3 linked regions of the Rattus norvegicus genome follow. The protein of the gene in region 1 interacts with the protein of each later gene in a pairwise test. Links are inferred from orthologs where the notes say so. Each region holds a gene or a part of one and is shown on either strand. Other genes may lie near its edges.

What was found. The genes of interacting proteins can lie anywhere in the genome.
Region 2: the proteins of Zgpat (region 1) and Krt40 interact in binary tests that used the Homo sapiens proteins (3 or more experiments, as listed by UniProt). The two-hybrid records come from large-scale screens. The link is inferred for Rattus norvegicus from reciprocal best matches to the Homo sapiens genes ZGPAT and KRT40.
Region 3: the proteins of Zgpat (region 1) and Dhx15 interact in binary tests that used the Homo sapiens proteins (3 or more experiments, as listed by UniProt). The two-hybrid records come from large-scale screens. The link is inferred for Rattus norvegicus from reciprocal best matches to the Homo sapiens genes ZGPAT and DHX15.

What each region holds. Positions count from the first base shown.
Region 1 is NC_086021.1:188,864,924-188,868,827, forward strand, and holds the end of Zgpat (zinc finger CCCH-type with G patch domain-containing protein), read left to right. Parts: intron 1-551; coding exon 552-685; intron 686-919; coding exon 920-1,075; intron 1,076-1,794; coding exon 1,795-1,914; intron 1,915-1,999; coding exon 2,000-2,405; intron 2,406-2,600; coding exon 2,601-2,739; 3' UTR 2,740-2,991; downstream 2,992-3,904. UniProt on the Homo sapiens protein: Transcription repressor that specifically binds the 5'-GGAG[GA]A[GA]A-3' consensus sequence. Represses transcription by recruiting the chromatin multiprotein complex NuRD to target promoters.
Region 2 is NC_086028.1:84,995,998-85,000,638, reverse strand, and holds the start of Krt40 (keratin, type I cytoskeletal 40), read left to right. Parts: upstream 1-1,740; coding exon 1,741-2,187; intron 2,188-3,525; coding exon 3,526-3,608; intron 3,609-3,914; coding exon 3,915-4,071; intron 4,072-4,641. UniProt on the Homo sapiens protein: May play a role in late hair differentiation.
Region 3 is NC_086032.1:62,998,342-63,002,798, reverse strand, and holds the start of Dhx15 (ATP-dependent RNA helicase DHX15), read right to left. Parts: upstream 2,902-4,457; 5' UTR 2,734-2,901; coding exon 2,663-2,733; intron 1-2,662.

The DNA.
Region 1 (3,904 bases):
TGTATCCTAAGAGAAAAAACTCCAGAGTGTGCGTGTGTGTGTGTGTGTGTGTGTGCGCGTGTGTGTGTGTGTGCGTGTGTGTGTGTGTGTGTGCGCGTGTGTGTGTGTGTGCGTGTGTGTGTGTGTGTTGAAAGTATATGTATGTTTTTGAGTACATTATGCATTTATGCATTTAGTGTATATACATGTGTGTCTTATGAGGGTATATGTTAATATGTGGTATATTCTGTGCATTTATATGTATGTGTATAGAGATTGTACATATGGATATGCAGATGTGTATGCTCATAAATATCTAAGTATATGTATATGCATGAGAGAATATGAGAATATCTATATATTCACATATGAGTAAATATGTGTTTGTGCTTGTATATGTACATAAATGCATAGGTATGAACGTGTAGCTGTTTTTGCTGGTGTGCCTGTCTTGATTTCTTGAATATCACTCCATTACAGGCAGTGCCCTAGTGATGACCTTTGTCCTCTTGGCCTTACTTGATCCTGGTGGGCCATGTCTAAGCTACTGTCTTCTGTGGTTGAATCTATAGGTTTTCCCATGGCCAGTTGGTATCTGTGGATGAGCTGCGTCCCTTCCAGGATCCAGACTTAAGCTTACTACAGACTGGCTCTGCATGTCTGGCCAAGCACCAGGATGGCCTTTGGCACCCAGCACGGATCACTGGTGAGACTGCCGACAAGGACCTACCTGATGAGACCCTTTTCAAAACACCCTTTTTGTTCTTCATACAGCCATTCTCCACCTCCTCAGGGTTGGGCTCTGGGACTTCACCTAGGCCCAAAAGGAGCAGGTCTGCCTTTGTCCCAAGCCCCTTCCCTTCCTGTTTCCCACTTCGCTCCTAACTGGTTGCTTAACCTGTAAAAACTGCTGACCTACACCTTGTCTCTGTCACCCTAGATGTGGACAATGGCTACTATACTGTTAAGTTTGACTCGTTGCTGCTGAAAGAGGCTGTGGTGGAGGGGGACAGCATCCTGCCTCCTCTACGCACTGAGGCTACAGATTCATCTGACTCAGACACTGGTGATGCAAGTGACTCCAGCTATGCCAGAGGTATGGCAAAAATCAGCGCCTACAAGCCAGGGTGTTGAGGGAATAGAGCAGATTGGTGAAAATTACCCAGATAGCTGCAGAACAAATGATGTGGTAAGTCTGACTTGGCACAGTAATGTACAGGAGAGGACCTGAGGGACCAGGGAGTGTGTGATGACCTGGGTAGGACCCAAGGCCTAGCTTTTGCCTTTAAGAAATAGACACAGCAATTGCATGCCTCAGTCAATGTTCCGTGAAGCAAGGTGGCAGCACACTGTACAGAGAAGGGAATGCTGTTGCTAGAGCTGCCAAGAAGTCACAGGAAGGAACTGAGTGTAGGGGGTAGGAAAGGGTGGCTTCTTCAGATGACTTCCCAGATTTAGAGCTTAGGTGTTTGGTGGGAAGGGCAGAAGAGATCTTAGCAAAGGGAAGATGTTTCCAGGTGAAATAGAGATTTCAGGAAATGAACCAGTAGGTAACATATACTCTTCCTGAGGGGTTGGTTAGGATAAAGACAGGAAGATGTTCCTAGGAACCTGTGGTGTGAACTGGTAGTTTCCGGGCTCTTCTCCGTGGTGGCAGATGTAAGCTAAAGTGAAGTTGGTCATACAACAGCTGTCTCTAAAGGCAGTCGCCACACACATAGTGCACACAGCATGCTTGGGAACTAGAGGAGACCACCGTCTAGGAGATCTGGCCCAACCCAGGAACTGAGTCCTGGACCCCTCTGTCTCCTGCAGTGGTGGAAGCAAACACAGTGGACACTGGGACCTGCAGTTCTGCCTTTGCTGGCTGGGAGGTACACACACGGGGCATTGGCTCCAAACTCCTCGTCAAGATGGGCTATGAGTTTGGCAAGGGTAAGTGCTTGCTGCCCTGAGATGAGAGGGAGGCCTCAACCCAGCTCAAGAGTCCAGCAGGTAGCACAGCCCCTGTCTTTCCCAGGTTTGGGCCGGCATGCAGAAGGCCGGGTGGAGCCCATCCATGCTGTAGTGTTGCCTAGAGGGAAATCACTGGACCAGTGCGCAGAGATACTGCAGAAGAAGACAAAGCAAGGCCAGACTGGTGCCAGCAGGCCTCCAAGATGTCGGAGGAGGAGTAGTAGACCTGAGGGCCGCCCACCCCCTCGGAATGTGTTTGACTTTTTGAATGAAAAACTGCAAAGCCAGGTTCCTGGGACCCCAGATGCTGGAGTGGATACCCCAGAGAGAAGGAACAAAGACATGTATCATGCCAGCAAGAGTGCCAAGCAGGCTTTGAGCCTGCAGCTCTTCCAGACTGAGGAGAAGATAGAGCGGACCCAGCGGGACATCCGGGGCATCCAGGAGGCCCTAACCCGCAACACTGGCCGGTATGTGTGGGATCCAGCTGAGGCAATATGGGCTCCAGTGGCTGTGCCCAGAGGATACCTGCTAAAGGTCACCTGACCTGAGTAGCAGCTGAGTCTGAGGTGGTCTGGATATTGGAGGGTGGGCATTGGCTACAGCAGCTGGGGGCTTGGTACTGGGGAGCCAGGAGGCAATGCTGACCAGCAGGCTCTCCCTAGGCATGGTATGGCGACAGCCCATCTGCAGGAGAAGCTGGAGGGAGCCCAGCGGCAGCTGGGTCAGCTGCGTGCTCAGGAGGCCGACCTACAGAGGAAACAGCGGAAGGCAGACACTCACAGGAAGATGACGGAGTTCTAGTGGCCCTGCCTGGGACTCAGCTCCCAACTGCCTTGGCAGAAAGACAGCTGTCGCCCTGACGCCTCAACAGCACTGAGAAGAGGAGCCAGCCCCTTCCTAGGACATCCCTTATTTAGCCTTTTCAGCCTAAAGTGTGAACACTGCTGAGTAGAGATGGGACATCAGGGCTGATTTTGAACTTATCTGCCCACCAAGCCCACCTACCAGTGTTTTGGGGTATCTCCTTAGGACATTAAAGTGATTTCATCATAACTCTCTCAGTGGAGACTCAGCTGGCTTCAGGATCTCTGGGGACAAAGGGATCTGTGTAGGTCCTGACAACAGATAGGTGGGCTGTGGGAGTCCCAAATGAGGCCACTGCCTCTGTCTAGGGTCCAAGAATCCAAGAGAAAAGCACTCTCCTTTTTATCCCTTCCTTGACCAAGTGGTAAGAACAGAACTCACGAACAGGCAGGGTGTGTGAGATGGAAACACCTTAGGGATCCTATCAGGAAAGCAGGCAGACCTGACTCCAGGGGGTTTGGGGTTCATTTCTGGTTTTCGGCTGCCATGGATAATCCATCCAGTTGACCTGCTTTGTTCACCTCACTAATGGGTGTCTGCCTCATTGGGGTAGAGGGGACTGTGCTTGTCTCTGTGATAATTGCCTTTGTGCAAGTTGCCATGATGAGGCGTGAGGCGAGCAGAGGCTGTGGGAGCAGCTGCGCAGGAGCTGTGTGGCTGCTGGGAGGTGCTGAGAAACACAGGAAGTGAGGTGAGGCGTCACCAGCAGCCCACAAAGACCTTCCTGGCTGCCCTAGACAGGGCCAAGCAGCAAACCCCCGGTGGCCTTGGTAAGTGCTCCCCCATCCTCTATCCTGGGCCAGTCCCCAACCTCTCCATGCCCTGGGGTCTGGGAGGGTTAGTCCCTGCCTGGCTAGGCCTTTGATAACTTGGCTGTAGCCAAGTTAGTCAGCTTGGGCCCACTCTGTATAAGAAGCCTATACTCCAGGCCTGGACAGGCAGGCCCTCACCCTGATTTTATTCACCCTGAACTCATGGGCAAGACCCTAATCAGCTCTACTAAGGGCAACTCCAGGAAAGGCAGGAACCCTGGGAAGGGAAGAGTGGGGTGGGAGTACATGGCCCTCATAGCAGCTCCCCTGTTCATTGACCCCCAACTGCT
Region 2 (4,641 bases), on another chromosome or scaffold:
ATTTCTCCTAGGACTTGCCTACTGGAGCTCCACTGTAGATTTTAATCTAAGTCACACCCATCTCGGAAAGATCTCCTGCTAGTTTTTAGCTTCTCCTATGTTGGCTCCTGACAACACATGCCTTTTATCAAATCATTCAGGAGACAGATTCAGGTAGATTAATATGAGTCAGAAGCCAGCCTAGTCTACACAGTGAATTCCAAGTCAGCCAGAGTTATGTAGAGAAATCTGTCTCAAAAATGATAATAAGGAAATAAAAAGCAATCTAAGACACTCAACATTAATGTCTACTTTCCACATACATGCATATCCATGCATACACACACACACACACACACACACACACACACACATACACACGCACAGTGGACTTTTATTGATGCTGAAAGCAATTTTCTCTGTGTAATTTTTGAAAGTGAAATAAAAACCACAATTAAAATCAGACAACATGAAACTCCAGTTTATAGTTATAGTAGAGGTGAGATCCTAGAACCAATGTCCATCTAGTTCTGTACCAGAGGTTCTTAACTCAGTGAAACTGTTAGCTGAAACAGACATCACATAATCATATTCCCAACATCCAAATATTTTTCATTTTCATGAAATTGAGACTTTCCTAAATAAAAAAGAGGAGACAGACTCCATATTTTTTTAAAAGTAAGATTTTTGTGGCTTCCTTGGCTCTATTCCCAAGTATAATGGGTAAGGAGCTCCGTCACAGATTACAGCTAAACCCTCATTGCAATTTCTCTCTCTGCTCTCCTTAATATAGGTAAGGACTGGGACTATAGGTTGAGGTAAATCAATTATGTGCCATGAACAATACCTTATGATTGATCTCCAACTTCAAAGGAAGGAAGAAGGGAGGGAAGGACGGAAGGAAAAAGAAAGAAAGACTGCTTTTCAAAAACAGCATAACGCTTCTAAAATGTAAACATGAGAAAGCAAAGCTTGCGTGTCTGACTATCCACTCAGTGCACATCCAATCTCACCAACTAAGCAGGGTTAGGCATGCTTAGTGCTTGGCTACAGACCACAAATTCTAGATGACCAAAGATCGCAATTCAGATCTTGATAACCAATTCATAGTTTGACTCAATTATTCTCATCAGTCTATAAAATGAATGCACATAATTTGCACTCAGCATAGACCTTTTCCTGTACCATGTAAGCACATACTTCAAACTCACTAAAAAAAAGACACTTCAAGATTGAGATTGCTAACCGCCATTTTTACAGTGGTTGGTAGCACAAACAAATACAATTTAATAAGCTGTGATGTCCATTTGTAAAGTAGACAAGAGCAATCAATTTTCAAAATCAAACCCTGTTGGAATATTACTTTCTGTATCTCCAATGATCTCTACCTTTAATTACTGATGGCTCGATTTTTTTCTTTGGTTCCTTATTCATTCAAAAAGGTAGTGCTTCCTATGGCCGTTTGCTGAAATAAGAATTTTTATCCAAGCAGCATGTGGAAATGGCGTTAGTCCTGATTTAGTAACCTGAAGTTATCCTCCTTTTACGAGGCATACAACTTCCTCCGTAAATAATCAACACTAATGAGATGTTTGTAGGAAAGCTGGCATCTGCAAGGCTAGAGAAAACATCGGTGTGTCCTGTAAACACTCATTTGAAGGGAGATATAAAAGTCTCAGGAAGCCAAAAGTCCTAGACCTTTGGGAGACTAGGCGAGACCTAAGCAATACACCATTCAATCTGTTCATTCCTTCTCAGAAGATGGCTTCCGAAGGCTCCCCTGACTGCTGCTCTTCTGAGCCCTATGCAGGGGCATCGAGCTGCACAACTGCCTCATTCTGCCCCACCAGCACAACTTACCTTCCCAGCACCTGCGCCACATCCAGATGTCAAACCCCGAGCTTCCTCTGCAGGGCTCACCTCCCGGCCGGTTGCCTCTCACCGTGCTACTTGACTGGCGGTTGTAACAGTCCTTGCCTGGTGGGGAACTGTGCATGGTGTGAAGAAGGGACGTTCAACAGTAATGAGAAGGAGACCATGCAGTTCCTGAATGACAGATTGGCCAGCTACCTAGAGCGGGTGAGAAGCCTGGAAGAGAACAATGCAGAGCTGGAGTGCAGGATCCGAGAGCAATGTGAGCCCGATGCCACACCGGTCTGCCCGGATTATCAGCGGTACTTTGACACCATTGAAGAGCTACAACAAAAGGTTGGGTGTCTCACTGCCCTAATGTTTCCCAATGTTCTCTGTTTTCCAATTCTGTTTTCTCTCATAGCTGTACTAGGGCAGGTTGCTTTGTGGATGTAAAACAAAGGAAAGGGGGATTCCCAGAGTTAGTTCAAATAATCAATCTCATTCTCAGAGAATTATTGGGTGACTATAGAAATGTCACCTTGCTGTAGACTTTGTCTACACTGTGAAGGAAATTGAGTTATGACGTCTTCTAAACCCCATTCTTCATGTATCATTGCGTGTTTATATTCTTTATCAAACAGATATTGAATGCCATCCATTTGAGTTCTGGAAATCGTTCTCTATTTGTGTGTATGTGTGCAAAATGTGGGGTTGGTGGGCGACGTGATATATGATCGTGTGGGGAGGGAACACATGCCTGAGTGTGGGTAAGGAGGTCTGGGGTCCATGGCAAGTACCTTGCGTTCCTCGCCTTGTTTTTGAGACAGAGTCTCTTCTTGAAACTGGAACTCACTGATTTAGCTGCAGTCCCTGAGGCCTGGCCAGGGAGCCCCAGGGATCTTACTGTTTCCACCTCCTTAGTACCAGGGGTTAACCGACACTGAGTATTATACTTACCTTTTTCACATGAGCTCTGTGAGATTGAACCCAGATCTTCCTACTCGTGTTTCAAACCCTTGACCAACAAAGCCACTTCTCCTTTTTTAATTGATGGATTTCTGTGACCACAGAGATGCAATTCTAACAAACACTAGCAGTGTGGGAAACTTCAACAAAGCTCAAAAGCCAGTGATGGTGACAAAATGCCCTGCATCACTGATAAAGGAAACCTTGAACCCCAGAGACGGCTCAGCAGTGATTAACAACATTGTACTGCTCATGAGCACCTGAGTTCAGTTCCTACCATCCAAGTGTGGCAGCTCACAAGCACCTAAAACTTCTCACCTTCTTCTCACTGCACAAGGCTACACTCTTACCAACATACAGACACACTCAAATGTGTACACTCTCATGTGCATACACATACTCTTAAATATACACGCTCACCTGCACATACACACACACACACACACACACACACACACACACACACACCTACACATACTAAGAAAGAAAAGGTGAAATCCTTCATTTTAGGAAGGGAAGGTCTTTTGCTTCTGTATTTTGTTTCTCAATTGGCACTGAATGTTTTTTTATTCTGTGAAGTGGCACAGTTAATAGGAATCATGGGTTGGAAGAGACATTATGTTAACTTGGAAAGACTTTCATAAACTAATGAGTGGCAAGGCTGTTAAAATAGATATGTGGATTTCTTCTAAAGAGCTCCTCACTAAATGATGACTTACCTCTTAGATATTGTGCACGAAGGCAGAGAATTCTAGACTTGCCGTGCAGGTGGACAACTGCAAACTGGCTGCCGATGATTTTAGGTCAAAGTAAGTCAAATTATGTTTATTTTGTTAAGCCACAGTGTGCTTTGTGTATGCAATTTACACGTTAAATTTTAAATTTAATTATAAAATAATAATTAACAATAATTAATGTCTTCCAGTAAGAGAGAAAATATTTTCTGCATAATATATATTTTTAACTGAGAATGTTTGAACCCTGAACTCACCTTCATTTGGAATGTAAGGAAAATTGAGGCGTGTGACTCTCTGGAGGCCATGTGTCATCCAACCCTGCATCCCAGTACTCTGAGCCAATTAAGCCACTTCCCTCCCTTTCTCCTACTCTGAAAGGTATGAGAGCGAACTGTCCCTGCGCCAGCTGGTAGAGAATGACATCAGTGGTCTTCGTGGGATCCTGGGTGAACTGACCCTGTGCAAGTCAGATCTGGAGGCCCATGTGGAGTCTCTGAAAGATGATCTACTTTGCCTTAAGAAAGACCATGAAGAGGTGAGTGGAGTGGCCGCTGGGCCAAAGACTATAGGAGGAGTTCTGTTGAGAAATCTCATGTGTATAAATTGAACAGGGACAGACACTGCCTATACTGGAACAAAACTAGAGACATTCTCACTGTGTAGCATGATTGCCCCAGTGTCTCTCAAGGTAGATGTGATGTACAGCATGCATCATTAACATAACCCTCATCAGTGGCACGGAGGTGAGGTCACTCTTTTTCCTGCCATTGCTTGGGTTGAGAAGTAACTCAACTCATGGTTTTTTCCATAGCTCTATTGTATAACAAGGAAATTGAGCTGATAAAACTGACTGTGTATCCCCTTCCAAAAAAGGGATAAACAATCACACAATACTTGGAATCATGTTTGTAGGTATTGTGTGTTTATAATTTGATTCTGTCATAAGCTATTAAAATGAGAAGCAGATTGATGTAACAAAGAAAAAATTTACTCTTTGAATATTTTGATGGTAACAATAGCTGGCAAGTGTGGATACCTTAGCTGGTAACAATAGTTGGCAATTATGGATACCTGAGCGTGTGTCATTAATTTTATAGATTTACTG
Region 3 (4,457 bases), on another chromosome or scaffold:
ATCGAGAACAGCGTTTCCTTGCTCACGTGCAAGCTATGGTTTTTGAAATGGAACTAAAAACATTTAATAAGCTAATAATGTAATGCTGCCTGGAATATCTGAAATGCACCAGGCAAATACTGGTTACTACTGATGTTCCATTTAAATTGTACTTGGAATAATAACGGGCACTAATATACTGCGCTAAAAAGGATGGAAACTAGTCATCTACTTCAGATATTTTATATAAACACTACTAAGCATGGGCATTAATATGTATACATATCTATAGAAAAAAAACCCAAGAAAGCACTTAATATCAATGAGCAAGACAAGAGATATGCCTTATAACTGGAGTACTGCACAAATAGGCCCCAAATTCCAAGAGCTCAGATATTACATTTTGTATTTAAGAATAAGTATGGTCTCCAAAGATGGAAATAATGATTTGGAGTAACTTACTGCTCTTTTCTTTATACCTTAAAGTGTGAAAATTTCTTGCTCACTGCATCTTATTTAATTTCAGCTACCACAGGATTGTAGTGAAACACACTTCTACCTACAAAGAATCATAATTATTGAGTTTCGATCAGGAATACTAAGAACCATTAGAATAAAAATGTCCTCAGATTTTCCAGAGCTGGTGAGATGGTTCAGAGTGAAAAACTGAGTTGACCCCTGGGGCCAGCATGGTCAAGAGGAAGTATCTAATTCCATGTTTTCTTCTGCTTGCCACAAGCAGTGGTCATACACCCAAACACACAAAAGTGTGCTGGAATGGAGACAACAGGGTCTGGTGACAGCTGGGGTGACAAAATGAACAAGCCTATGCTGTCAAATACACTAAACAAGAGCAAAAAGGAAGGAAAAGAGGGAGGGAGGGAGGAGAGGAGGGACAGAATCCCTGGCAGTCAAAAGTGCCTTCAAACTAAGTGAGGAAGAGAAAATCAATAGATACCAAGCACAAATACTGTATAAACTCATTGCTAAAGAAAATCAGTTCTATAAGAAAAAGTACTCAAAACACTTACGAAACAGCAACAACTGCCCTCCAGAATCTCTAGAAATTAAGGAATTACTCTTCAACTGAACTCTCCTGTACTTACTGACAAATATTAAATACTCAGAGAAAACATGAAGCTACCATGATACACCCAAAGTCCATTTTACCAATGTTATACATTAGCAAGAGAAATCACCATGATCACTGTGATCAATGTGGAGCCACTAATCGAAATAAATGCACTGAGTAGTGAACACACACACACAAAAACACTGAAAAGAACTATCTCAGAGTGACCTCTAAGTGGGAAATTAGTTGCATCTTAGCCAAATGTGACAATCACTACACTTTATCAATCCAATAAGAATGGCATTATGACAGGTGGTAATGTTTAACTACAGTTTTATGTTTCATGTTGAGAAAAGGAGATTTCTAGATGCCACTGTAAAGTATGGAAAAGATCACTGTAATGTTGCTCTCCCTTGGAGAATAATCATGAGCTGTATTTCTACCTAAGAACTGACTGAGCTCAAATATGAACGCTTGGAATTTTTGCTTGCGGGAATAGCTAGCTGTCTTGGGATGTTGTATTATTACAATGCTTAGTATTACAAGCTTTAAAAAAAAAACTACAGAATCAAAACATAACAAACCTACTTTCCATATTCAATATTTCAATCTAAGGAGAGCATCAGAACACATCCTATCCTGACCTATACCTCCCATTGGTAGTTAGAAAGCAAGCCCAAAAGACTTAAAATCTCAAGAGACCACACATCTGACTTGACAGCTAGTGTCACAGGACGTAAGAAAATGATAAAAGCATACAACAGTTTTGGACATTCGGACTTCTGTGTTATATTTTTTTAACTAACCAAACAGATCTCTGTACTGCCAAAGTATAAACATACAGTTAATTAAAATGGAAGGGTAGGAATATAAGCTAAAGTACATTTTAAGTATGAACTGTCACAGAAAAGCTGGAAAATGATAATACAACTGCTTACATGCTAAATGCCCCGTCTTTGCAAAAGTCTAGGAAAAGGAACCAAACTGCCAGACCAAGAATCGGTGTAAGCATTCCTCAATCTGCACGTGGGTGTTGTTTGTTCAAACACGCTTAAGATCACTTTTTGAAAAGTGCGTCCAAAGTCGGGAGGAGATAGAAATAACTTACAGAGCGGAGGGAGATTACGTATTTTCACAGGCCTACCCCACTGATGCTTAGCAAGGCCGGTTTTTAAGCAAAGCAGGAAATAAAGGAGATGGCGGGAGGGCAAGCAGAGGGCGGAAGTTGGCAACGGCCTCTTCTGAAGTGCCTCAATGGAAGGAGGCCGTCCGTCTCCCGCCAAACAGTGCGCCCCGAGGTCGGCTGGTCTTTATCCCCAAGTAGACAGCTCCCGCCGCCGCCCGGGGCCGCTCAAGGGGCAGTGCCCTTGGCCACCCCATTCCGGACACTCTCCCCGGCTGCGGGCCTCACGCGAGCACCGAGGCCTCGCGGCCCGCTCCTCACGCCCGCCGCCCGCGGCCTCGTGGCCACCACAGGCCTCTCACCCTGACCGCACACACTCGGCCCGCGCCCCAGCCGGCCGATGGCAGACAAAGACTCGGCTGCCGGGCCTGCTCCCCGCCACAAGCCAACAAAGCCCGAGCCGCGACTGCGCACCCGGTCTGTCTTACCCATCGGTCCCCGCACGCTTCTTGCCGGAGGGGTAATCCTCCCCCAGGTCCAACCGATGCCTCTTGGACATCTTCGCACTCCCAGAGCGGACGCTTAGGAAGGAAGGAAGAAGAGAGACTCCAGCAGCCGGATCCACACAGAAGAGGCCCGCTGCTCAACTCGCAGGGACCCCCACCCCTCCCGCCACCACAGACCGCTCCGTGCGGCCCGAACCAGGAGCTAAAATGGCGGCCACGACGAGGGCAGGGCCTGCGCGCGCGCCGCCGCGGCGGGCGTGCCGGCGTGGTGCGCGCGCACGCCGCCCGGAGGCGGGAACTCCCGTCCCGCCCGATGTGCCATTGGCTGAATGGCTCTGCGCCCCGCGGGCTCCTCCCCTCTCCTCCTAGCTGTGAGCCGCTCTGAGCGATTGCGAAGGACGAAGATGAGCCTCAAGCTGTCACTTGCTGCCTGGAGTTCGTTCGGAAAGTTGGAAAAGCCTAGTTCTAATTAGGAAATCTATCCAGCTGTGTATTTACTTTTGTTTTTAGGGTCTGAAGCTCAGGAAGGCTTAAGGAAACAAGATCACACAGCTGGTAAGTGGCAGAGCAGGGCACAATTATTTTATAACTCCAGAACAGGAATTTGCAGTTGTTGCGCCAGATTCCCAGCCGCGGTGAGAAACATGTTAATTTACTGTGACTCGTTTTGTCCACTTACCCCAGAACAGTATTTATTCAATCTATAGGTGTTTTGGATAGGGTTCAGAAAATTGGAGGAATTCGTACTGGACACCTTATTTTTTCTCCAATCCTCTGCCCTAGTCTCTCTCCGTTTGTGTATATATGAGTACATATTAGGCACTTGGAGATGTTAACCCTATCTCTGTCCTCGTTTGGTTTGGTTTGGTTTGGTTTGGTTTGGTTTGGTTTGGTTTTCTAAGACAGGGTTTCTCTGTGTAGTTCTGGCTGTCCTCAAACATGCTCTGTAGAAGAGGCTAGCCTGGAATTCAGAGATCAGGTGCTGTCTCTGCCTCCCAGTGCTGGGATTAAAGACATGCCCTAGCATGCCTAGTTGCTGTGCTCCTTAGTAGAGTGAACCCTGAAAGACATTTTATAGACATAATCACCTAGACTGAAGGAAATCAACAAATAGCGCATCCATTAAAACTCCACTGTAATGGCAAGTTGTTGAGGGAAGGTGACACTTAAGAGGTTGTGTATCTTTCTCCCTTCAGCCTATGTGCTTGCTCAATTGCATTTATTTCCAGAAGTGTGGGGGGAAAGAATTCTAATGATCAGCCCAAACACAGAGTATCACTTCATGTCAAGATTCTCCTTGACTGCTCCTTGGCTCTAGTCCCTCAAAAATTCTCAAAAGATTAAATACAACAGAAACATGGCAGATGACAGCTTCTATTTTTGTATCATCCATCAGTACAAATTCAAATGAATATCTTTTTGTTACTTTCACAATACCCAATACAACCTTCTAAATGTACATTGACAATCAATTAAGCCAGGTGTGGTAGTAAGTGCCTTTAATCCCAGCACTCCTGAGTGCAGAGCCAAGCAGATTTGTGTGGGTTCAAAGTCAGTTTGTTTTACATAGTGAGTTCCAGGACAGCCAGAGTAACATAGTGGGTGTCCCCCCCCCCCCCACAACCAGCCACTGAAAAGTCCCATGAGTATCTTACAGGCAATTCCATTCAAAAAGAGCCCTACCCTTGTCAGTTGTATTCCTCTTTATAGTTCCTGGATCGGAGGGGCCTCTTGTTCTTGTGCAGACTCTTGAGCTTTATAAACCCCATGACCATCC